2 linked regions of the Elephas maximus indicus genome follow. Each later gene encodes a partner of the first gene's protein in a complex. Links are inferred from orthologs where the notes say so. Each region holds a gene or a part of one and is shown on either strand. Other genes may lie near its edges.

Region 1 (11,740 bases):
TAGGTGTTCTTCCGCTGTCACACAGAAGGAAAATGTAATAGACGAGATACATTCAAATTCAGGACCATTCTTCATGCCTCTGCTCCTGCTGCCCCCGCCCCCTCCATCTACACTTCCTTCCCTCTCCTCCTCTAAAATTCCTGACCCTACTACAGCATCATCTTTTCTTCCAAGATACCATTCAGCATCGAACTTCCTCATTACGTGCACATAGCTTCCCTACTAGGCTGTAAAAGGTATTTACAAATAAATCTTTGTTTATGTATGCACATGACTCCTCCCAGAAAGGATTTATGGTAGTTTCAAGGCATAAAATAGGCACCCGATAGATTTAAAATTAAATTGAACACTGAGGCTCAACAAGTTGTTTACTCCACCATGACCCAAAAAAAAAAAAAAAAAATCACTCTAATGACTATAAAAAACCTGTTGCCAAGAGCCCCTGAGGGAGCAGCAAAGCAGTGGGATGCAGACCCCGAAATTCTCGTAAGACCAGACTTAATGGTCTGACTGAGACTAGAAGGACCCTAGTGGTCATGGCTCCCAGACCTTCTGTTGGCCCAGGACAGGAACCATTCCCGAACCCAACTCTTCAGACATGGATTGGACTGGACAACGGGGTGGAGAGGGATGCTGGTGAGGAGTGAGCTTCTTGGATCAGGTGGACACTTGAGCCTATGTTGGCATCTCCTGCCTGGAGGGAAGACGAGAGGGTGGAGGGGGTTAGAAGCTGGCGAAATGGACACGAAAAGAGAGAGCGGAGGGAGAGAGCAGGCTGTCTCATTAGGGGGAGAGTAATTGGGGGTATGTAGTAAGGTGTATATGGGTTTTTGTGTGAGAGGCTGACTTGTAAACTTTCACTTAAAGCACAATAAAAATTATTAAAAAAAAAAAACAAAAACCTGTTGCCGCTGAGTAGATTCCAACTCATAGCCACCCTAAGAAAAGAGCAGAACTGCCCCCGGGGGTTTCCAAGGAGCTGCTGGTGAATCCGAACTGCCAACCTTTTGGTTAGCAGTCAAAGACAGCTCTTAACCACTGCACCACCAGGTCTAATGACTATAAACCAAACCCACTGCCATCAAGTCAATTCTGACTCATAGCGACCTTACTGCCTACAGCAAAGCACAAAAGTAGGAAGGGGAAGGAAATCAACATTTATTGTCATCAGCTACTATACTTCAGTAACTGTACTGGGAATTCTATGGATCCATTTCCTGTAATTCTCAAAACAGCCTTGTAAGTTTCATCCCTGGTGTACATTCTGGGGAATAAGAGGTTAAAAAAAAGGATACATGATGAATTAGTTCTGTGGCTTTGGACCAGTACTGGAGCTCAATTTCAACCCAGGTTCTTCTGATATGAAAGGCTATGATAACTTCAGAACCCACAACTTTTTAACAAAACCATAATGCCTTTCAAGCTGAGTAAAATAATTGGGCAAAATTATTCTCTTCTAACTTCTTTTCATTCAAAGGAAAGGGAAAAAAACATTCAATTTAGCATCCAATAAATAAAAGGATTTACATAAATATATATTAACTGCCCTTTCCCAACAAATTAAGAGTCTGCTAACAGCTAACGAAGAGAAATGCCCAACAGCATTCTTTTTAACCTCTAAATCATCTGAATGATTAGCTCTTCAAAAACCGTAGTATTCTTAATTTCTAGCATACCAGGAAAAAAATCGTAACAATTGGTAACCTTATTACTGTTAACAGTGTGTGCAATCATCTAAGTCATTGGGAAGCGGGAACACTGTAACTAGTTAACGTTTTCTAGTTTTAAGATTTTGGATTAACAAATTTCATAAATACAGTAAGAGCCAAATTTGGGGTACTGCTCATAAAATCCACAGGACACACAAACCACATCAACCTCATGATCCCTCAGTTCAAAATTAGTTCACTGTAGTGCTCAACATTTCAAAACGTATGTTCCAGGCAACAACCTCTGTTTCCTGAATTCTGGGCGCTAAAAAATATTACACCAAAACAGAACAAAAAAAAAGAGTTCTGGGGTCAGATATAGAAAACACTACTAGAATATTTACCAGAACTTTTGACATGATAATCTGAATGGTGACCCCGAGAAGAGATGAAAAGGACACAGCACTGTTTCCCAAACTTATTTGGCCAAGGCACCCCTTTTTCCTGCAGCATCTCCTAGAATTACTGCCACAAATGGCACATTCAACAACACTGCTTCAGATAGTCCAAAACCGAGTTACTGACATCTTGTAGTGTTATTCTGTTCTGAATTGGTAATTAAAGGCACTGTCAGAAACCACTACTGAAATTCCAGGGAGCAATGCAAGTCTTAATAAAAAAATCTTAAACATAAAGAGATGACTACAGACTTATTCTGGCCCTCTCACCTTATCCACTTCATATCATAACAGTAATCATTTCACTACACAAAAGATTAAAAATAAATTCAATTTTATCTCTCACAATAAACTAATACCTCTATCCATAAAAACACTATGCAACTTCAATACATAATTATCAAATATGGATAATGGGCGTTCTCTAAGTTATGTTTATCTCGTTCCTGTCTTTTTGGTTTTTACCCATTAGCTAAAGCTGGACGGACAAGGGGAAAGCCGCCTCATTTCACGTGATCTCTTTCTGAAATTTCACCTCTCTTAAAGAATCTTCACAAATGTATGTCCTGGCATAAATCCTTGGGTTTAGATTTTTCACTTCCTAACAAGAGTCACGTAGAAAGCACTATACTCTCTATCAATCCTCTCAGAAGATATACAGTTCCTTCCAGAATATTCTACCAGAAAAAAAGTTACATAGGTATTCACATTTTGGTATGTATGTTTTCTTTGGCACAAGTCATATTATCCGGAGACATCCTTTAAAACACTTTAGTGCGTCCTGTATTGCTTTTAACATACACAGTAAAATAGCCAAACGAATTATTTCAGCCAGAGTAAAAACACCTCGATATGTTTGGAAAATCCTCTTCAAAACTTGGAATCCCAGCTCAATTATAAAAAGTAAATATAAAAACAATTGAGTAAATAAGCTGAGGAGCCTATTTAATATTTACTACTGAAGCCATTACTAAAAGCCAATCCCGTAAAATCCAGAATGCATAATCAACACAAGAATCTAACAGCGAAAGCCAAACCAAAAAGCACTGCGTAGCTTCCGTATCATAAAATTCATCCGAACAGATTCCTTACAGGATACATTCAAGGTCACTTTGATGGATTAAAAAAAAAAGTGTCAAAAGAAATGCATATTCCCACCGTCGATTTCATGCCCAACAGAAGGCTGCCGAAGTGTTTAACGGAGCCAGGAGAGGGTGCTGCGAATGCCGGAGCACCGCATAGGGTCGGAAATGTGCTAGTGGGCGTCACTGGAACGACGAGAAAACACGCCTTTTCGGTAAATTCAACAACTTCCAAGGGCTAAGGGCTCTCCACGTGAAAAGCAACGCTATTGTGAGCATACAATATCCCTCACCCTCGAAGGAGCAGCGAAAAGTGCAAGTTGACCCATTTACTGAAACAACCCGCCGCCGCAGGAGGCGCGGCAACCCCCCACGCGCCGCTGACACCGGTCCAGAAGCCCCACCGCAGCGCCAGCCCGGGCTCCGCGCGAGAGCATCCGGTGTTCCGCCCGGCCGCTCGGGGCCCAGGTAGTGCCGCTTCTCTTCCTCCTTCCGGTGCCCAGCCTCGTCGGGCGCGGACAGGCCCGGGCTATTATGCAACACTGAACATCTTGCCGCCGCCAACGATTTTGGCGCATCGTCCCCTCCCCCACCGCCCTCGAAAATACGCAGCGCGAAGCCCTCCCGCCCCACGCGCCGCGTGGCTCTCCGTCCCGCTCGTTTGCCGCCGCCAACAGCTGACACGGCCTGGGCCCGCAGAGCCTTACCGGAACCCTGCCGGGCGCGCAGCGCAGGCGGAGCACTGGCTCCGAGTAACAAAAGCGGGCGCTAAGGGACCGGCGGTGCGGGGGACGCGGGGCGCGCCGCGGCGGCGGCCATGTTGGCAAGGCGGGGCGGGGCGCGCAGTGCCGGGACTCGCAGGGCGTCGGCGGCCCAGGGCTGCGGGGAGGGACCGGCGCGCGGCGGCGGCGAACAAAGGAGCGCGCGCTCGGCGCCAGAGGCCCCGGCGGCCCCCGCCCCGCGCAGGCGTCCCGGCCGGCAGGGGGCGCTGTGCAGGCGCGGCCCGGGCACTGGACAATGCGACGCCGGGGAGCCAGGCGGGCGTCGGCCGGCCGGGCGGTCCGGCAGCTCTCACCTGGGCGCGACAGGGCGCCGACTGCAGCCAGAGTAGCCTTGCGGCCCGCCCGCCTGCGCCTGAGGCCAAAGAGCGGCGCCGACGCACGCTTCACGCCCGCACACCTCTCATGGCAGCGATGCTGCTCCCCAGGCGCCCCTGCTTCCGCCCGCGGCGGAGAGGCCTCACCTGCCGACCCGCCAGAGGCCTGCCGTCCGCAAACCCCACACGGGCTCCCGCCGTCCCTCTTCTCAAGCTCCCCGCCCCGGCCCAAACCCGAGCCAGACGGCGCCTCCCCGCCCCCCGGCCTCCGCGGCGCACGCGCACTGGGCCCGCCGAACTGCGGCGGCCCCGCCAGCCCGGCGGCCCGCACCGAGCCCGGAAGAGCTGCGCACGCGCCGCCGGGCCGGCTCGGGAGGGGCGGGGCCTCGCGGCTGCTCACCTGAAAAGATGGGCGGAGTGTCCGCACAGCCTGCCAGGCAGTCGGAGCCTCCAGGTGCGAGCCGCGAGCTACCGGCCAGCATCGCCTCCGGGTCGAGGGTGGCGTGAAGAGTGCAGAGCTCCCGGAACCTTGGAGTGACATCGTTTCTACGGAAAGTTAGGCCGCCTTGGAGGAATTTGGTTCCTGTTTCCTACGAAGACTTTCTAAGAAATGATGAGGTGCTCTTTGTCCTTAAACAGCACACCCCAAAGATTTATGGAACTGGATAAAATAGCAAGAATATCCGGAAAAAAGGTGAGTTTTGAACGACGGACGCTACACCAGCTAAATTTCAGTAACGTAGGTTTTAGGTTCAAGACTGCAGAAGTTAAGCTCTTTATAAAAGTAAATTTGTTTCCTGTGATTCGCTTGATTACACAGCTTCGTACCTCGGGTCACCTCACAATGCTACTGCCGTGTAAAAAAGCCTCTCTCTACATATCTCAGGTTAACGTAAACCCCAAATCCTCATCTACAAAATATCTGGCCTTCCCGAGGTTGTGTAGGGAGTTGTGAGTTCTGCAATGCTAGAAACCTTTTCCCAGCCCCCTCCACGAAAACAAGGACTAAATCAGCTCGACTTGCGAGTCTAGGAGCCAGAAACTCCCCCTATTGCACTTTAATGCCTTTGACTTCAGCTTAAACGAAGACGTTCTTTTGAATAATTTATTTGTTCCTTGCAGGAGTAGGGGGAGAGGAAGCATTCAGAACATTTTACTAGTTCCGACTTGACAGCAGAACTCGGAGGCTTAATCTAGGTCTGAATACCAGCGCCCCCACCTACGCCTCCACGTGAATCCCCCACCCAGTCACTAGCCCTGTGTGTCTTCCAGTCAGTCACCCTGCTTCCGTGTTTCCTAGAGCGCGAAAGCGCTGCCGTAGCAGCCCAACGGTAATAAACCTTCCCCCAGAATGTTGTCAGGTCGAATTACAAAACGGATTGTTGGAAAGCACTTTGTGCACTCTGAATTGCAGGACAGTTGTTAGTAAGCAGTGCTCTTTGGGATTATACTGGCACATTGTCTTCCAAGCACGATTGATATGCGCTGGCTTTAAGCGCTCATCTCCAAGGACACGTTTGGCAGGAACAGGAAGTTTACACGCCAACAAAAGGGCCAAGATACCTATATACATGTATACGTATGTTGTTGTTAGGTGCTCTCCAGTGGGTTCTACCTCATAGCCACCCTGTGTACAACAGAAGGAAACACTGCCGGTTCCTGAGCCCATTATTGCAGCCACTGTGTCAATCCATCTCCTTGAGGGTCTTCCTTTTTTTCCGCTAACCCACTACTTTACCAACCATGATGTCCCTCTCCAGGGACTGGTCCTGATAACATGTCCAAAGTATGTGAGATGAAGTCTAGCCATCTTCGCTTCAAAGGAGCATTCTGGCTGTATGTCTTCCAAGACAGATTGGTTCATTTTTAAGGCCTCAAATCCTCAGTCTTCCTTATTCGTTCTCCAGCTTTCCCATGGATATGAGGCAATTGAAAACACAATGGCTTGGGTCATGCACACCTTAGTCCTTAAAGTGACATTTCTGCTTTTTAACACTTCAAAGAGATTTTTTGCAGCAGGTTTGCCCAGATGAATGCGTCACTTGATTTCTTGACTGCTGCTTGCATGGGTGTTGATTGTGAATCCAAGTAAAATGAAATCCTTGGCAGCGTCAGTCTCTTCGCTACCATGATGTTGCTTGTTGGTCCAGTTGTGAGGATTTTTATTTATGTTGAGTTGTAATCCACAAAGAAGGCTATGGTCTTTCATCTTCAGTAAGTGCTTCAAGCCCTCTTCGCTTTCAGCAAGCACGGTTGTGTTGTCTGTACACATCACAGGTTATTAACGAATGTTCCTCCAATCCTGATGCCGTGTTCTTCTTCATATAGTCCAGCCTCTTGGATTATTTGCTCAGTATACAGATTGAATAAGTTTGGTGAAAGGATACAACACTGACCCACACCTTTCTTGACTTTAAACCATGTTTCAAAAAAATGCCTCCTGGTCTAACTACAGGTTCCTCATGAGCACAGTTAAATGTTCTGGATTTCCCATTCTTCTCAATGTTATCCGTAATTTGTTACGATCCACAGGGTTGAATGCCTTGCGTAGTCAGTAAAACACAGGTAAACATCTTTCTAGTGTTCTTTTTCAGCCAGGGTCCGTCTGACATCAGCAATGATATCCCTGGTTCCACATCCTCTTCTGAATCTGGCTTGACTTTCTGGCAGTTCTCTGTCAATGTACTGCTGCAACTGTTTTTGAATGATCTTCAGCAAAATCCTACTTGTGTGTGTGATATTAATGATATTATTCAATAATTTCTGCATTCTGTTGGATCACCTTTCTTTAGAATGGATACAAATATGGATCTCTTCCAGTCAGTTGGCCAGGTAGCTCTCTTCAAAATTTCCTGGCACAGTGCTGTATCCGTTCGTTGAAACATCTCAGTTGGTATTCCCTTAATTCCCGGAGCCTTGTTTTTCGCCAGTGTCTCCAGGGTGGCTTGGACCTCTTTTTTCAGTACCAGCAGTTCTTGATCATACGCTACCTCCTGAAATGGTTGAATGTCAACTAATTCTTTCCGGTACAGTGACTCTGTGTTCCTTCCATCTTTTGATGCTTCCTGTATCGTTTAGTATTTTCCCCATAGAATTCCTTCAGTATTGTAACTCAAGCCTTGAATTTTTTTTTCAGTTCTTTCAGCTTGAGAAATGCCAAGTGTGTTCTTCCCTTTTGGTTTTCTAACTCCAGGTCTTTGCACATTTCATTGTAATACTTTACTCTGTCTTCTTTAACTGCCCTTTGAAACCATCTGTTTAGCTCTTTTACTTCATAATTTCTTCCTTTCCCTTTAGCCACTCTGCATTCAAGAGCAACTTTCATAGTCTCTTCTGACAACCATTTTGGCCTTTTCTTTCTTTCCTGTCTTCTTAGTGATCTCTTGCTTTTTTTATAAATGATGTCCTTGGTATCGTGCCACAACACATCTGGTCTTTGGCCATTAGTGTTCAGTGCATCAAATCTATTCTTGACATGGTCTCTAAATTCAGGTGGGATATACTCAAGGTTGTACTTTGGCTCTCATGACTTGTTCAAATTTTCTTCACCTTCATCTTGAACTTGCTTATGAGAAATTGATGGACTATTCCACTGTGAGCCCCTGGCCTTGTTCTGACTGATGATTTTGAGCTTTTCCATCATCTGTTTCCACAGATGTAGTTAATTTGATTCCTGTGTGTTCCATCTGGTGAGGTATAGTCGCCATTTATGTTGTTAAAAAAAGGTATTTCCAGTGAAGAAGTTGTTGGTCTTGGCAAAATTCTATCATGTGATCTCAGGCATCATTTCTATCATTAAGGCCATAATTTTCCAACTACCGTTCCTTCTTTCCTGTTTCCAGTTTTCACATTCCAAGCACCGGTAAGTATCAATGCATCTTGATTTGATCAATTTCAGACTGCAGAAGTTGGTAAAAATCTTCAGTTTCTTCATCTTTCACCTTAGTGGTTGGTGGGTAAATTTGAATAATAGTCGTATTAACTGGTCTTCCTTGTAGGCATATGGATATTATCCTATCACTGACAACATTGTAATTCAGGATAGGTCTTGAAATGTTCTTTTTGATGATGAATGCTACATCGTTCCTCTTTAGTTTCTCATTCTCTGCACAGTAGATCATATGATTGTCTGATTCAGAATGGCCAATACCAGTCCGTTTCAGCTCACTAATGCCTGGAATATCGATGTTTATGTGTTCCGTTTCATTTTGGACGATTTTCAGTTTTCCTGCATTTGTACTTTGTACATTCCACATCCTGGTTATTAATGGATGTTTGCAGCTGTTTTTTCTCATTTTGAGTCGTGCCACGTCAGCAAATGAAAGTTCCAAAAGCTTGACCCCATCCTCGCCATTAAGGTCAACTCTGCTTTGCGGAGGCAGCTCTCCCCCAGTGATATTTTGAGTGCCTTCCAACCTGAGGGGTTCGTCTTCCGGCACTATATCAGACAGTGTTCCCCTGCTATTCATGAGGTTTTCACTGGCTAATTTTGTTCAGAATTAGACCGCCAACTCATTCTTCCTAGTTTGTCTTAGTTTAGAAGCTCCGCTGAAACCTCTCCACCAAGGGTGACCCTGCTGGTATTTAAATATTGGTGACAAAGCTTCCAGCATCACAGCAACACGGGAACCCCCACAGTATGACAAACTGACAGACTCACAGGGGTACGTACATACATACGTTATGTGCGTGTATACATATAAACCAAAAAATGAATAAATAAAACTCGCTGCCGTCAAGTTGATTCTGACTCTTAGTGACCCCGTGTAACAGAAATAAAAGCTGACAGTTCCTCAGAACTCACTGTGGTACAGGCACAGCGATACACCTTTGTACCACTGCTTACACCATCGAGAGTACTAAGAAATTGTTAGCTTTTATTTGTTTCGTTTTTTATCATACAGAGAATTGACAGCAAGTCTGGATCAAGCTGGGAACTATCAGGGTTCTCGCACTTAGTGAACGGACCAGATTGGCACTAAATACGTTTGGGGCTTAGGCTGACTCTGCCACTCCCACCGAGGATAATAATGTAGATTTGACAACCCTTGCATGTGAATCCTGATAAGATGGTGGCCCAAACTAGGCCAGAGGCTGCTGTTCAGTGTTAGTCCTAATAAGGTACCCTGGCCAAATCTGAGATCCACAATTGATTCACACACTCTGTAGGAGGAAACATGGGATCTAGGGCTGTGTCCATGGCCAAGGTGACCAGAGCCAGCCTGGATGGTCAGCAGTGGGACCAGAAAGAGAGGGAAAGGGATTAGGGGGGCACAGGAAGGAGCTGGGTCAGAAACAAGCCAACTGTGATGCCTAGCTTGGTCTGGAACCTCTCCAGGTATCCAGTCCACCCCAGGTTACAGGAAGTGGGCATGGATGAGAATGCATTCCCCATGCCTCTTATTACCAGCTGACACATTATCTCTCATCTAAGCTCCCAGAAGGCAGATGGTTTGTTTTCGTTCTCTTCCATGTATGCCTAGAGAGAAGGGGTTCATTGAAGACTTTGTGGAAGACCATTGAGGGTCTGTAGAAGGATTTACCCAGACAAACATGGTTAGAAAGAAACCCAGGAGTACTGAAATGATAACATAGGCTCTGGCAGGGGCCTCACCTGTAGGCCCAATCCCCTGGCCTCTGACCCCTTCTACTACCCCAATCCCCTGTCTAGTCCCATCTCAACCAGGAGGGCTGTAGAGACCCCACCCCTTCAATTCTGGAGGGAAGGGCCTGGCCATTTATCGTCCCAGGGGCCTCAGAGCACTAAGACCACACACTGAAGCAGCCCATCAGTTTCCTCTACTCCCTGAAAGTATGGCACCAGAGAGACTAAAAGGGCAACACAGGGCCTCTGTCTTACCAAGAACATGTTTCTTAGAAGACACCTTTCCACAGTCTTTTTCTTTTTTTCCAGCTTAACAACTTGCTCCTGGAGCCTCTGCAAAATCACAAATTACAATGCCATGTCCCTTCGAGCTTCTCTCAAGCCATTGAAACTGTCATTTTGGCAGCACTGCTGGATGTAGAGGAGATCCAGGAGAACCCTCCACTCACTTGCCCTAATGGACATCAGCTGGACTCCAAGGAGCACAAGGCACTGCATTTTAGCCTCTGGAGGGGACAGCATATATGTTTATACTTGATGGAGGGAACATCATGCGGTGCTCAGAAAATGTTCACTGAATGGAGGACTCAAAGGGAGAAACAGCCCGAGCAGCCATCTGGTTAAACTACTTAGGTTCCTATCACTCTCTCCTGGTTCACTCCTACCTCTCCCTCCAGGTCAGGTTCTGCACAGGAGACAGACAAATGCTTTTAAATATTTCCGCCTCAGAGAAGCCTTCCTGACCACCTGCACAAGCAGATTGCCAGCTCTCTTTCTCATACCTACATCCCTGTTGGTTTTCCTTCACAGCATCCATCCCCCTCTGTAATTACAAACAGTATTGATTTGTTTGTTGCCTTGTGTATTGTGTTCCTCCATCCCATGAACTACTGCTAACCAAAAGGTCAGCAGTTCAAATCCACCAGGAGCTCCTTGGAAACGCTGTGGAGCAGTTCTACGCTGTCACTGTGAGTCAGAATCAACTTGACAGCAATGGGTTTGGTTTTTTGGTTTTTTCATCCCATGATAAATTCCAGAGGGCTTTATCTGGCTTCACTATCAGTATAATCCCTAGAGCACAGTAAGTGTTCAACAACTATTTATTATAAATTAATGTCTGACTTGTTCTCAGAGTGCTGGGTTGTCTGGATTTATATGAGCTTTTAAAGGGCCTTGAATACCAGGAGACTGGGGGATTTGAATTCTCCTTAGCCACTCTTACAGGGGTATTCAGAGAACAAAAGGAATAATATAAGCTGCAGAATTACACACATGTAAGGGAAAGTGTTCAGTCAGGCTTTGGGGGGATTTTGTTGAATCAATCAGGTACTATCTAGGAGAGAATTTAGAATAGAAGATCTGAAATATAGGCAATCTCCTGAAAAGGCTAATGTCTTAGTTATCTAGTGTTGCCATAACAGAAATATCACAAGCGGATGGCCTTAATGAAGAGAAATTTATTTCCTCATGATAAAGTAGGCTAAAAGTCCAATTTCAAGGCGTCAGCTCCAGGGGAAGTCTTTCTCTGTCTGCTCTGGGAGAAGGTACCTGTTCTCAGTCTTCCCATGGTTGAGGAACTTCTCAGGCTCAGGGGCCCCAGGTCCAAAGGACGCACTGTAATCCTGGTGCTGCTTTCTTGGTGGTATGGGGTCCCTGACTCTCTGCTTGATTCCCTTTCCTTTTATCTCTTCAGAGATAAATGATGCAGGCCACACCCCAGGGAAACTCCCTTTACCTTGGGTCAGGGGGGCGACCTGAGTAAGGGTGGCGTTACAATCCCACCCTAATCGTCTTTAGCATAAAATTACGATCACAAAATGGAAGATAACCACACAATACTGGGAATCATG
Region 2 (10,549 bases), on another chromosome or scaffold:
CCACATTGAGCACAGTCTATATGCCTTGATATTCTGCTGCTGCTACTGTCGTTGGGTGCTGTCAAATGGATTTCAACTCATAGTGATCCCATGCCACAGAGAACTGTCCCGTAGGGTTTCCTTGGCTGTAATCTTGTACAGAAGCAGATTGCCAGGTCATTTTCCCGCAGAGCTGCTGGGGGGGTTTAGATCACCAACTTTTCGGTTAGCTTCATCATTTATGTCACCAGACCTCTTGGTATCCTGCTACCTTACACCTTCTCTTGATCTAGTCTCGGACTACAGGTCGATGTGTTTTTCATTAGGCTATGTTCTTGCATGTCTACAGCCTTCACGCATCTGTCCAGACACCGCTGTAAATTTCCTCACCTTCCCTCATGGCCCTGCTCAAGTCATGGCCTCTGTGAAGCCCTCCTGACTTCCCACCCCTGGAGGTTGACTGTATCCACAGCTGACCTCCAGCCCATAGTGTGCATTTTCTTGAGGGTGAGGAAGATAAATTTACTCATCTTGTCATCCCAATAGGGCCTGGCACATCGGAGAGGAGACATTCAGCGAGCTTTCGGTCAGGCGATGCACTTGCCTGCCTGTTCTTCCACTTGTGTAGGCTCTTCTGAAAGCCACTCCAACTTGTCAGAGCCAGCCTCCCTTCAAAGCTGTGGTACTGCCTCCACAGGCCAGTCTGTCTGGCTCCTGATCTTTGTGCACAGGAACCACAAGCTCCCTCAGGGCAGGGTTCCTGTCTGGCTTGGCAAGAGGCAAAATAGCCCCACGTGCAGCCTGGCAGCTCAATGCTTCTACCAAGTGACCATGATCCCTTACGGCTGCAACAGGAAACTCTTAAGTGAGAGAATGGGACGAAATACAAACAAGGGGGGCCCCCACACCTGGAAGCAGGACTGCGAAGGTCTGGGAAGGCTACATGGAAGAGGCGGCGTATGACATGGATGTGAGCACTAGCTTGGAATCAGAAGATCTAGATCCAAACCTGAGTTCACCTATGGGACTGCGGACGGTAAGCCTGACCTCCTAGCTCCAGTCGGGCTTTTGTCCCCACCACTCCTTCCGAACAGCTTTTGTCAAGGTCACTGATGCTAATCCCAGCAGGTGAGCTCTTAAACTTCGTTTGATGGATCACTTCTTCCACCTTGATTTTCACTTGGCTTCCAGGGCAGCACCTTTCCTTGGTTCTTTTACTTCACTGGTGCTCTTAGTCACCTTTGCCATGACTCACTCATCTCCTTCATCTCTTCCCAGCTATTTGCGCAGCTCACTCACTTCCTCCAGGTCACTGTTGGAGAACCAGCTTCTCACTGAGGCCTTCTGCCACCCTACAGAAAGCTGTCACTTCCCTCCACCTAAAACCCATCCATCCCCCTTTGCTGCTTCATCTTCCTCCACCGCACATATTACCACCTGACAGAATGAATGCGTGTTTTACTTTTAGCGTGTCTCCTTACTACACCGCAGGCTCCATGACCACGTGGGTTTTGGCTTGTTCACGCTTGCCCCTCTAGCACCTAGAACAGTGCCTGGTGAGCAGTGACCCTCAGTAATATTTGATGAGGCAATGACTCCATCTTCAGCCTGTAATCATTGAAGTCCTACAGGACTCAGTGCTTGGACCACTTCTCTGTCCACCTCCTTCCTCTGATGGTCTCTAATTGCTTGCCTGTTGACAACTCCCCTGTGTATATCTCCAGCCAGACTATTCCATGAAATCTAGACCCATATATCTAACTGCCCACCAGACGTCTCCACACGGATGTGCAATAATCATCTCACACTTACTACGTTCAAACTTTCCTTCCTCAGTCTCCCACAAAACCTGCACCCCAGCCTTCCCCATCTCAGTAAATGGGAAACCTACCCTTCTAGTTGCTCAGGCCAAAAACCTAGAATTCGTCCTTTCTCTGATACCCCAAACCTCTCAAGAAGCTTCTGCTTCAGGACTTTTGTACTTGCTATTCTCTCCGCTTGAAATGCTCTTCCTCCAGTTATCTACAAGGTTAGTGCTCAGTCTCCAATGTCTGTGCTCAAACTTCGCCTTACTAGAGAAGCCACCTCTGACCACTCAATATACCTAATAAAATAACCAAGTCCCACTCTCTTTTCTCCTTTCCCTGCTTTAGTGTTCTCCAAACCACTTGTCATCACCTGTGCTACTATATATTTACCTGAATATCTGTCTTTAGGAAACCCTGGTCGCGTAGTGGTTAAGAGCTATGGCTGCTAACCAAAAGGGTGGCAGTTCAAATCCTCCAGGCGCTCCTTGGAAACTCTATGGGACAGTTCTACTCTGTCTTATAGGGTCGCTATGAGTCAGAATTGGTTCGACGGCAGTGGGTTTTGGGTCTGTCTTTAGCTATTAGTCTGTATCCACATATTCCACAAGGCTGAGGTGTTGTCTGCTTTGTTTACTGCCATTAGCATCCCCGGCCTAGAGCAGCCTGGCATATACTAAAAAACGTAACAAACAAAAACCAAACCTGTTGCTGTCAAATTGATTTCAACTCATGGTGACCCTGTGCGTGCAGAGTAGAACTGCTCCATAGGGTTCTTGATGCTGTGACCTTTCAGAAGATCACCAGGCCTTTCTTCCAAGGCACTTCTGGGTGGATTCAAACCACCAACCTTTTGGCTAGCAATTGAATGCTTACTGTTTGTGTCACCCGGGACTGTTGGGACATAGTACCAAAAAAAAAAAAAAAAAAAAAAACCCAAACCCATTGCCGTTGAGTCAATTTCAACTCATAGCGACCCTATAGGACAGAAAAGAATTGCCCCATAGGGTTTCCAAGGAGCACCTGGTGGATTTGAACTGCCAACCTTTTGGTTAGAAGCGGTAGCTCTTAACCACTACACCACCAGGTTTTCCTGGCACACAGTAGGTGTCCAACGTTTACTGAATGAGTTAACCTTTCTGGACTTCTATTTCCTCATTTCTTTCAGAGGGGATAAAAGCACTCCTGCAGGGCTATTCAGGGGATTAACTGAGACCATCCCTAAGGGCATGGTTGGGCTGAAAGCTCTGAGGAGGATAAAACCCAACCCATAGTGGCCTTTATTTCCCTTGCTTATGTTACACCCTCCAGATCCCAAAAAGGATGAAAAGGCAGTGCAGACACAGTAGACGTTATATTCATCTGTGGTTAAACGAATGAATGAACCTGTCCCCTCTCCTGTCCCACTGTCACAAGGCCTGGAGAATATAAAGATAATTCAATTTTCATGAATATTAAGTCTTCCACAAAGGTGGCCCTTTGTTATGGTTTTCGAGATGCTGGGGACTAAAGGAAATGGTGAGTGGGAGGGGAAAGCGAGCATTTCCAGATTGTTCTTCAAATCTCTCCCAAGGCCAATCTCCTCCGGTGGCTGAGTCCCCGTCCCCCCACCCCGCCCCCCGCAAGCACCTCTTTTTCATAACTGGGTGTTGTGTGCTGTCCCATTCACCCCGATGCACTAGAATCTGACACCTGTGGCTTATGCAAGCGGAAGGTCTGAGGATGGGAAGCTTGGGGATGGGAAGCCTCGGGCGCCAGGAAAGCTTTATACATGCAAAAAAGGGCCCTTAAAATTCTGCTCTTCGAAGGCTGTCACGACGCCTGCCTCCATCCTCCTAATAGCTCCGAACACCAGGCTGCCGCACCGAGTCTCGGGCCTGGAGGCCTTGCGGCCCCTCGGCCCAGAACACAGCCTAGCCCCCAGCCTGCCGCCGCCTCCCGGGAGCGGCGGATATCCAGGGCCGCCGGGCACCCTGTCTCCAGCGCTGGGCCGGGCGAAGGGGCGCTCGGGCGCGGGAAGATCCCGAGCGCGCCGGGAACGTATCGAAGGCTCCAGACCCTGGCGGGGGTGGGGGCAGGGAGGATTCGGGGAGGCCCGAGATTCCAAGCCCTGGCGGGGGCGGAGCGACAGGACGCCCGGGCCCCGGCCCACCGCCCCGACGCGGAAGTGGGGCCCCCTCCCCTCCTCACCTCTGAGCATGGGCTCGGGCCGCGGAATTACGGCCACCACCGCGGCCTCCGCTTCATCCTCCGCTTCCTCGCACTTGAGCGTCACCTCGAAGCAGTCGAGCGCGGCGCCCTCGGCCTTCAGAGCCATGCTGTGGCTGGGGAGCGCGGTGACCGGATGCCACACAAGGGCCTGCGCGGCGCCGCCGCCTCCCGCCCGCGAAGCCCCCTCCGCGCCGCGGTCGTTCGGCGGCCCGGCCTGCGGCGGGAGCGTCCAGGCCTCCCCGAGACCGCGGCGCGTCGGGACCCCGGGCGGGGAGGGCTCAATCCGGGGCCCCAGTCTGCCGCCGCTCCCTTTTATGGAGGCTCATAGTCGGCACCCGCCCGCAGCCCGCCCCGGGCCCGCCCCAGGACTCGGGCAACCAATCGCTCGCCGCCCGCTCCCGGCCCCGCCCCCGCCCCGGTCATGCACCGCCCCCGAGCCCACGCGGCCAATCGCGCGCCCCTCCGGTCTGGCCCCGCCCCCGGCGCGCGCGGCTCTGTTAGAATCCTCAGGACGCGCTGGAGGCGAGAAGGCAGGGGTTCGTCCGTCGCCCCTCGCAGTGCAATTGCCTCAGAGGATCAGGGCCTCCAAACTTTCCCAAGCGGCGGGCGTCGAGAACCGGCTGGCGGAGCCAGTGGGTGGTGGTACTCCTCTGAAATGCCAGTCAGGCATGTTTGCTGGTATTAAAAACGCTTGTATCATCAGCACCAGAATTTTTGTCAGAGTCGCTTTTGCGGCTCTCCCAGAACAAGCCTTCCGACCCCAGAAGATGCCGAGGGCGGGAAGAGATCCGGGGCGGGGAGGCAGGGGAGTGGAAAGGGCGGTGGCATCAAAAAATGGAGATTGAATTCTTCCTCATTTGCCAGGTCTGTGACCTTGAGCACGTATTTTTCTGAGGCCTTTGGCCTTTTTTTTTTTTTTTTGCCTAGCATATCCGTTCTTTAAAAAAATATTGTGGAACCCTCTGGAGAAGGGAATGCAAAGCTGAAGAGCTGCTGAGTGGAACGTGGGCACATACAAACCACAGCCACGATTACAATGTCTGTTTTTTAAATGCGAGCCCAAAGAGTGTGTGACCTACCGAAGGTCACAGAACAAGCCCTTGGGAGCCCGAAGACCAGAGTCCTGTTCCCATGACGCTGGACTGTGCCATGTGCCAGCTTTTATCTCTGACAAGGATTTTCCCCCAGAGCGGGCAGAGAGAGAGCCTTCCTTTAGACCTGGTGCTCTGAATTTAGACTTCCAGCCTCTGAAAATAAATTTCTGTTTGATAAGGCCACCCACTTTTGGTATTCCTGTTACAGCAGCACTAAGAAACCAAGACAACCACTGAACTCAAACTTACTGAACTGAGTTTATCCTTAGTTGGAAGATGCCAACAGCTGTTCTGGCTCCACGTGACAGGAAGGGAAGAAGGAGAAAAAGAAGGTGGATAAAACTCAAATAGCCACTCAAGAGCAATCAAAATTTTTGAATGGAGGAATATAATTGTAGTAACACTAGAAATAACCATTTTGTCTGATAATAGGAAGTGGCTAATTAAATGATGGTGTGGTAGACAGCACCAAAAAGGATAGATATAAAGATAGTAACAACCTGGAAAAACATTTCTGAAATGTTAAATGTGAAAACCCACAAATATAGTATATATTGTGTTAGCAAAATTCAAACATAGCAGTGTTTGAAGCAGGCTCTCAATAAAGGGTTAACATGAACCATTCTTGGGCAAACAAGGGAGGGGATGAAGGAGAAGTGGTTCTTCTGGGAAAATACGTACAAAAAACATTCCAGGAGGCATGTAAAGAAAATGTTCTCAAAAATTGCTTACTCAAACTGTTATCAAGAAATGTTTGTCAGAAAATAGATTATCAAATGAAAGATTTTTTTTTTTTAAATGTCTGTGGTATTGGTCACACTAAACTCTGTGTATAAAAACTCTGCCCTTGTTCAGAACAGCGGAGTGCTTTCTACTTTCACTATATGCCGCCCAACTAGAGTTGCTATTCCTCAATAAAACTCTCTGTTCTTACTCCTATCAGTGTATGAGATTTTCTTCTTTGACATATTCATTGTCAGAAACAGGACTTCGAAGGTGCATTGCCGTCAACAACCCCTGAGGTGTTGAGGACTCAGGCTCATGTAACAGCTGAGCTATTTGGGTTTCTGAGTTTAATTCTTTGTGCTGTAGCTCTTTGAGTTTTGTTAAGGATTTGTTTTTATTCTTGCAAGTAAGCTTTTATTATCTTTCAGAAGAAAAATGGGAAATGCCAGTTCCAAGGGCAAATCAGAGCCTCCCTGTGGGACTCTTGCCCACTATATGAACAAGCACTTTGGTCCTTTAACATGTGTGTTTTGTCTGGTTGGCATGACCTCACTAAAGATAGTTTGGAAAATCAATGGCCACTTTGGGCTTCTTTTGAATTATCTAAATTAGTATTTCTGACCAGTAAATTAGAAAATAAAGGCTCCCAGATTAAACAACCTCAATGGGATGGCTATTTCGATTGGTATTTAGAAGTCTACAAAGACATCAAGTTAGCAAAACTGCTTCCCTGAAGGATACTGTTTTTAATTAACCAAACAAAATTAAGAGTTAAAATGTCAGAACTCAGCTCCCGATCCATCTGCCCCTTTGCCAGCTATCTGTCCTTTATACTCCCCTTACCTTCCTATTCCTTCAATAACACTCTGTCTGAGCTTCCTTTTTTTCCTGAGAAACCAAAGAGCCTTTACCCGAAATGCCCTTTAAGATTCATCCTACGAACACTGAGGAATTTCCCCGTGTTACCTTTATTCCCTGGACTTACTCAGAGTTATGTGGCATTGTGAAATATTTTCCAAAATTTCCTGAAGGGCTTTACAAGTTTGCTAAAGAGTTTAAAATTCTTATTGAAGCTTACCAATTTGGGGTCCCAGATTTGTTTCAACTAGTACATATGATAACTGGGCCTGGAGAAGCTCAGCTATGGTTAGAACACACTGAATGGAAAGATCCCAAAATAGTTTAGCTTTAAATATAGATAACACAGCTGCTTAAGGATTGTCGAGCAATGGGTAAGAGATTACTTGAGGCTATTCCCAAGGTTTTTCCTCCAATAACTGATTGGATAAAAATTCATTCCTGTAATTAGAATAAAGATGAGGATGTTTTGATTATCAAACCAGACTGCTTCAAAAGTTTTCTGAACACTCTGGTCTTACCTTATCTGCTCTGGATGCAACAGGAGCTTTTAATGCCTGAAATTTCAGCCTTGGTTAAGCGGCACTGATTAGACTGATAAAGGGCCCCCATTGTGGAATGTAGTTATTTGGCTTTTAAATTTCCCAGACTTTTGAGGCTGAAAGGGACAAAAAGGCTAAGAAATTTATGGCACTTCAATTTCAGCAATTACAGTCCCAAATCAAAAGAATGCCAAACCTTCTAATGGCCCCAAAGCTGGCATCTGCCACTATTGTAAGAAACATGGTCATTGGAAAAATGGATGTTATAGATTTAAAAACAAAATGAAAACTTGGCAACAAGAAGTCTGTCAACCTAACATGGAATGAAGAGGCTCTGGGGACACAACAGAGACTTTTCCTACGGTGTGCTTAACCTGCAAGGGGAAACTATTGTAAACATTAATGGAGAACCATGTCAGTTTTTTTTTTTTATTAACAATGGAGTCACCTTATGTGCTATTAACCCCAATGTTTTGCAAAAGTTCCTGCCCTGGAGTACAAACATCTCAAAGGTAGTGGCAGTTACCAAACAAGAGCAAGCCCAAATTTATTCTCAACTCAATCCAATATTTCTTGGTCCTACTGAAGACTTTTACTTAGTCCTGATACTCCTGTCAATTTGTTGGGCCAAGATCATTTGTGTAAACGGAATTGTCATTTGCAATTTACTGTAAAGGGGGAAATATTAAGTTTGCCCAATGTCCAAAAATTTACCGACATGTGTTTTGAATTAGAATAGATTGAAAAGGAAGAGATTGCTTGCTGCTTCCAAGCACTGGTCACACATAATGATGATTCAACTCGATCTAGCCTTCTTCATCCTGCTATATTTTCATTAATTCCTGAATCTGTATGGGCCAGCACGTCTACTGATGTGAGCTGTGTTTTGTCAGCAGAGCCAATCAAGATTCAAAAAGAGAGACTTCTGGCAAACATGGCACCATAGACAGAAGCATCACACTGTCCCTCTATAGTGAAGACCTGAAAAACTAAGTGAAACAGAGACAAATGTCATTCCTGGAACCTGAAGTGTCAAATGAAGAGATAAAGAACTCAACCAAGCACGAAACGGAATAAGAAACTGACAGAGGACAGAGAGCAAGGAGAGATACGTGCGGAGGGCCCCATCGTTAATGCAGCATGGATTTGCCATCTTGGACTCCTGTTGGGGATTGGCAGACACGGAGCACAGGAAAGCAGCTTTGCAGAACTCCCAACAGGAGACAGATCACCTGGTAACCAGTGATACTTTCCCACCACCAATGATCTCCCTGCTGCTCTGCCTCCCAGCTTGCTGGCTGGTTGTGGTGGCTCAGCTGGCCGGGAAGTGTAGCGTCCATGCCGCTTGGATTCGCCCCACCCACATCAGAGATCAGCAGCCAGAGAGTATGGGAAAGCAGCTTAATGAAGTTCCCGGCAGGAGACAGCACCCACTTCTGTTTCTCTCTCCTCTCTCTTCTTTCTCATACCCCTATTAGCGCCACACATCACAACCTCCCCCATCTTTCCTGCCTACGTGCACCATGCACTGAACATCACACCCCTAAGAAGCACAGGTACAGCCTTCTGGAAGCTGCCCAGCACTGACTCCTGGCCCGCCTTGTCAGCCCTAGTACATGTCACAAACAACCCATCCCAGCCCCTCCCCTTCAGCTGGACCTTCCTTGCAGCACCATAGCTGATTGACTGGCCCTGCCCATTGGACAAGTAGATGAAAAGTATTGTGACTACTGATGAGCAAACAACAAAGAAGGCATAGCCTACCTGCTCAGACATAACCAAATAAAACAGAAAAGCAGGACAAAACAAATAAATCTACAATCAAGAAATGAAGAAAATAACTACTGAATGTCCCAAAGACAGCAAACAATATCAAAACATAAAAAAACAGGAGAGGATGGTTCCAGTAGGCATCCAAAATAAAACACCAGATGACTTTCCAGTAGAAGAAAAGGCACTAGAACTACCTGACAGGGAATGCAAAGCTCTAATATTCACAGCTAGCCAAGAGTTAAAGCAAAAAGCAGAGAAAAATAAACAAATTTATGGATAAGGCAGACAAATTCATGGAAAATACAGACCAAAAAAAATGGGATAATTTAGGAAAGTAATACAGAAGCAAAATGCCAAAATAAACTCACAACTAAAATCATACAAAATCAACAATTAGAAATCTAAAAGATAAACAACAAGATTTCAGAAATGGACAGTGTCATAGAAGGGCTGAGGAGCAGGTTTGAAACAGTGGAAGACAGATTCAGTGAAATTGAGGACAAACACTTGGATACAATTCTGTTTGAGGAAAAAATCAGAAAAAAGAACGAAGAAAAATGAAGAAACCCTGAGAATTATGTGGGATACAATCAAGAGCAAAAATTTGCGAGTGATCAGAGTTCCAGAACAGGGAGAGACAATGGAAAACACAGAGAAGATCACCAAAGAATTGCTGACAGAAAACTTCCCTAATATTATGAATGATGAAAAGCCGACCATCCAAGAAGCTCAATAAGCCCTGTATAGGATAGACTCCAAAAGAAAAATGCCAAAGCATGTCATAATTACACTCGCTAAAACCAAAGACAAAGAAAAAATCCTGCGAGCAGCTTGAGAAAAACAAAAAGTGACATACAGAGGAGAAACAATCAGTCTAAGCTCTGGGGGACCTCATACTACCAAGAAAGAAGCACTAGGAGCACAGCACGTCCTTTAGACCTGGGGTCCCTGCATGAAGAATCTCCTCATCTGGGGCAACATTGATGAGAAGGCCGACAGAGAGAGAAAGCCTTCCCCTAGAGCTGATGCCCTGAATTTGGACTTGTAACCCACTAGACTGTAAGAAAATAGATTTCTCTTTGTTAAAGCCATCCACAAGTGGTATTTCTGATATGGCCACACTAGATGACTAAGACAGAATTTGGTACCGAGAGAGTGGAGTGCTGCTCTAACAGATCCCTAAAATCTGGAATTGGTTTTGAAACTGTGAATGGATAGAGTTGCAACAGTGGCAGAGGACCAGTGCAGCAGAGAACCTGCGGTGGCAGAGAAGCGGCAACAGCAGAGAACCAACAGCAGCAAAACTAGGAGATCAGCGTGAGATGGCACTGGAGCTGACCCACGGAGTGAGAGAGCTGAGTGCCTGTGCGCAGGAGGCTTCCTGGCAGAGTGGGGTGCCTCTAGGCACTTAATAGTGGAGCTACAGAGCTTCAGAACACTTGCCCCAGCAGGGCAGAGGCGGGTGTGAGGCCCAAAGAGCCAAGAGACCAAGAAACCAGGAAGCAGAAGCTGAAGAGACAACACAAGAAGCCAAGCTACCTCAGTCTCAAAAGGTATGGCT

What was found.
Region 2: the proteins of SPIN1 (region 1) and SPINDOC are in contact, whole or in part, in a crystal structure (PDB 7CNA), measured with the Homo sapiens proteins. The link is inferred for Elephas maximus indicus from reciprocal best matches to the Homo sapiens genes SPIN1 and SPINDOC. Residues at the interface, in NP_006708.2 of Homo sapiens: Met154, Thr169, Tyr170, Glu171, Pro174, Pro206, Val209, Val210, Leu213, Lys216, Gln217, Val218, Glu219, Tyr220, Thr229, Val232, Val242, Tyr243, Ile245, Phe247, Asp249, Asp250, Tyr254, Val255, Tyr256, Asp257, Leu258, Val259, Lys260, Thr261; in NP_612480.1 of Homo sapiens: Phe256, Ala258, Pro259, Ala260, Val262, His264, Phe265, Thr266, Asp267, Ser269, Phe270, Pro271, Gly273, Phe274, Val275, Leu276, Gln277, Leu278, Phe279, Ser280.

Annotation. Positions count from the first base shown.
Region 1 is NC_064827.1:124,887,027-124,898,766, forward strand, and holds the start of SPIN1 (spindlin-1), read right to left. Parts: upstream 4,518-11,740; 5' UTR 4,433-4,517; intron 4,111-4,432; exon of another isoform or gene 3,897-4,110; intron 3,475-3,896; exon of another isoform or gene 550-3,474; intron 1-549. UniProt on the Homo sapiens protein: Chromatin reader that specifically recognizes and binds histone H3 both trimethylated at 'Lys-4' and 'Lys-9' (H3K4me3K9me3) and is involved in piRNA-mediated retrotransposon silencing during spermatogenesis.
Region 2 is NC_064825.1:127,005,645-127,016,193, reverse strand, and holds the start of SPINDOC (spindlin interactor and repressor of chromatin-binding protein), read right to left. Parts: upstream 4,319-10,549; 5' UTR 4,102-4,318; coding exon 3,975-4,101; intron 1-3,974. UniProt on the Homo sapiens protein: Chromatin protein that stabilizes SPIN1 and enhances its association with histone H3 trimethylated at both 'Lys-4' and 'Lys-9' (H3K4me3K9me3).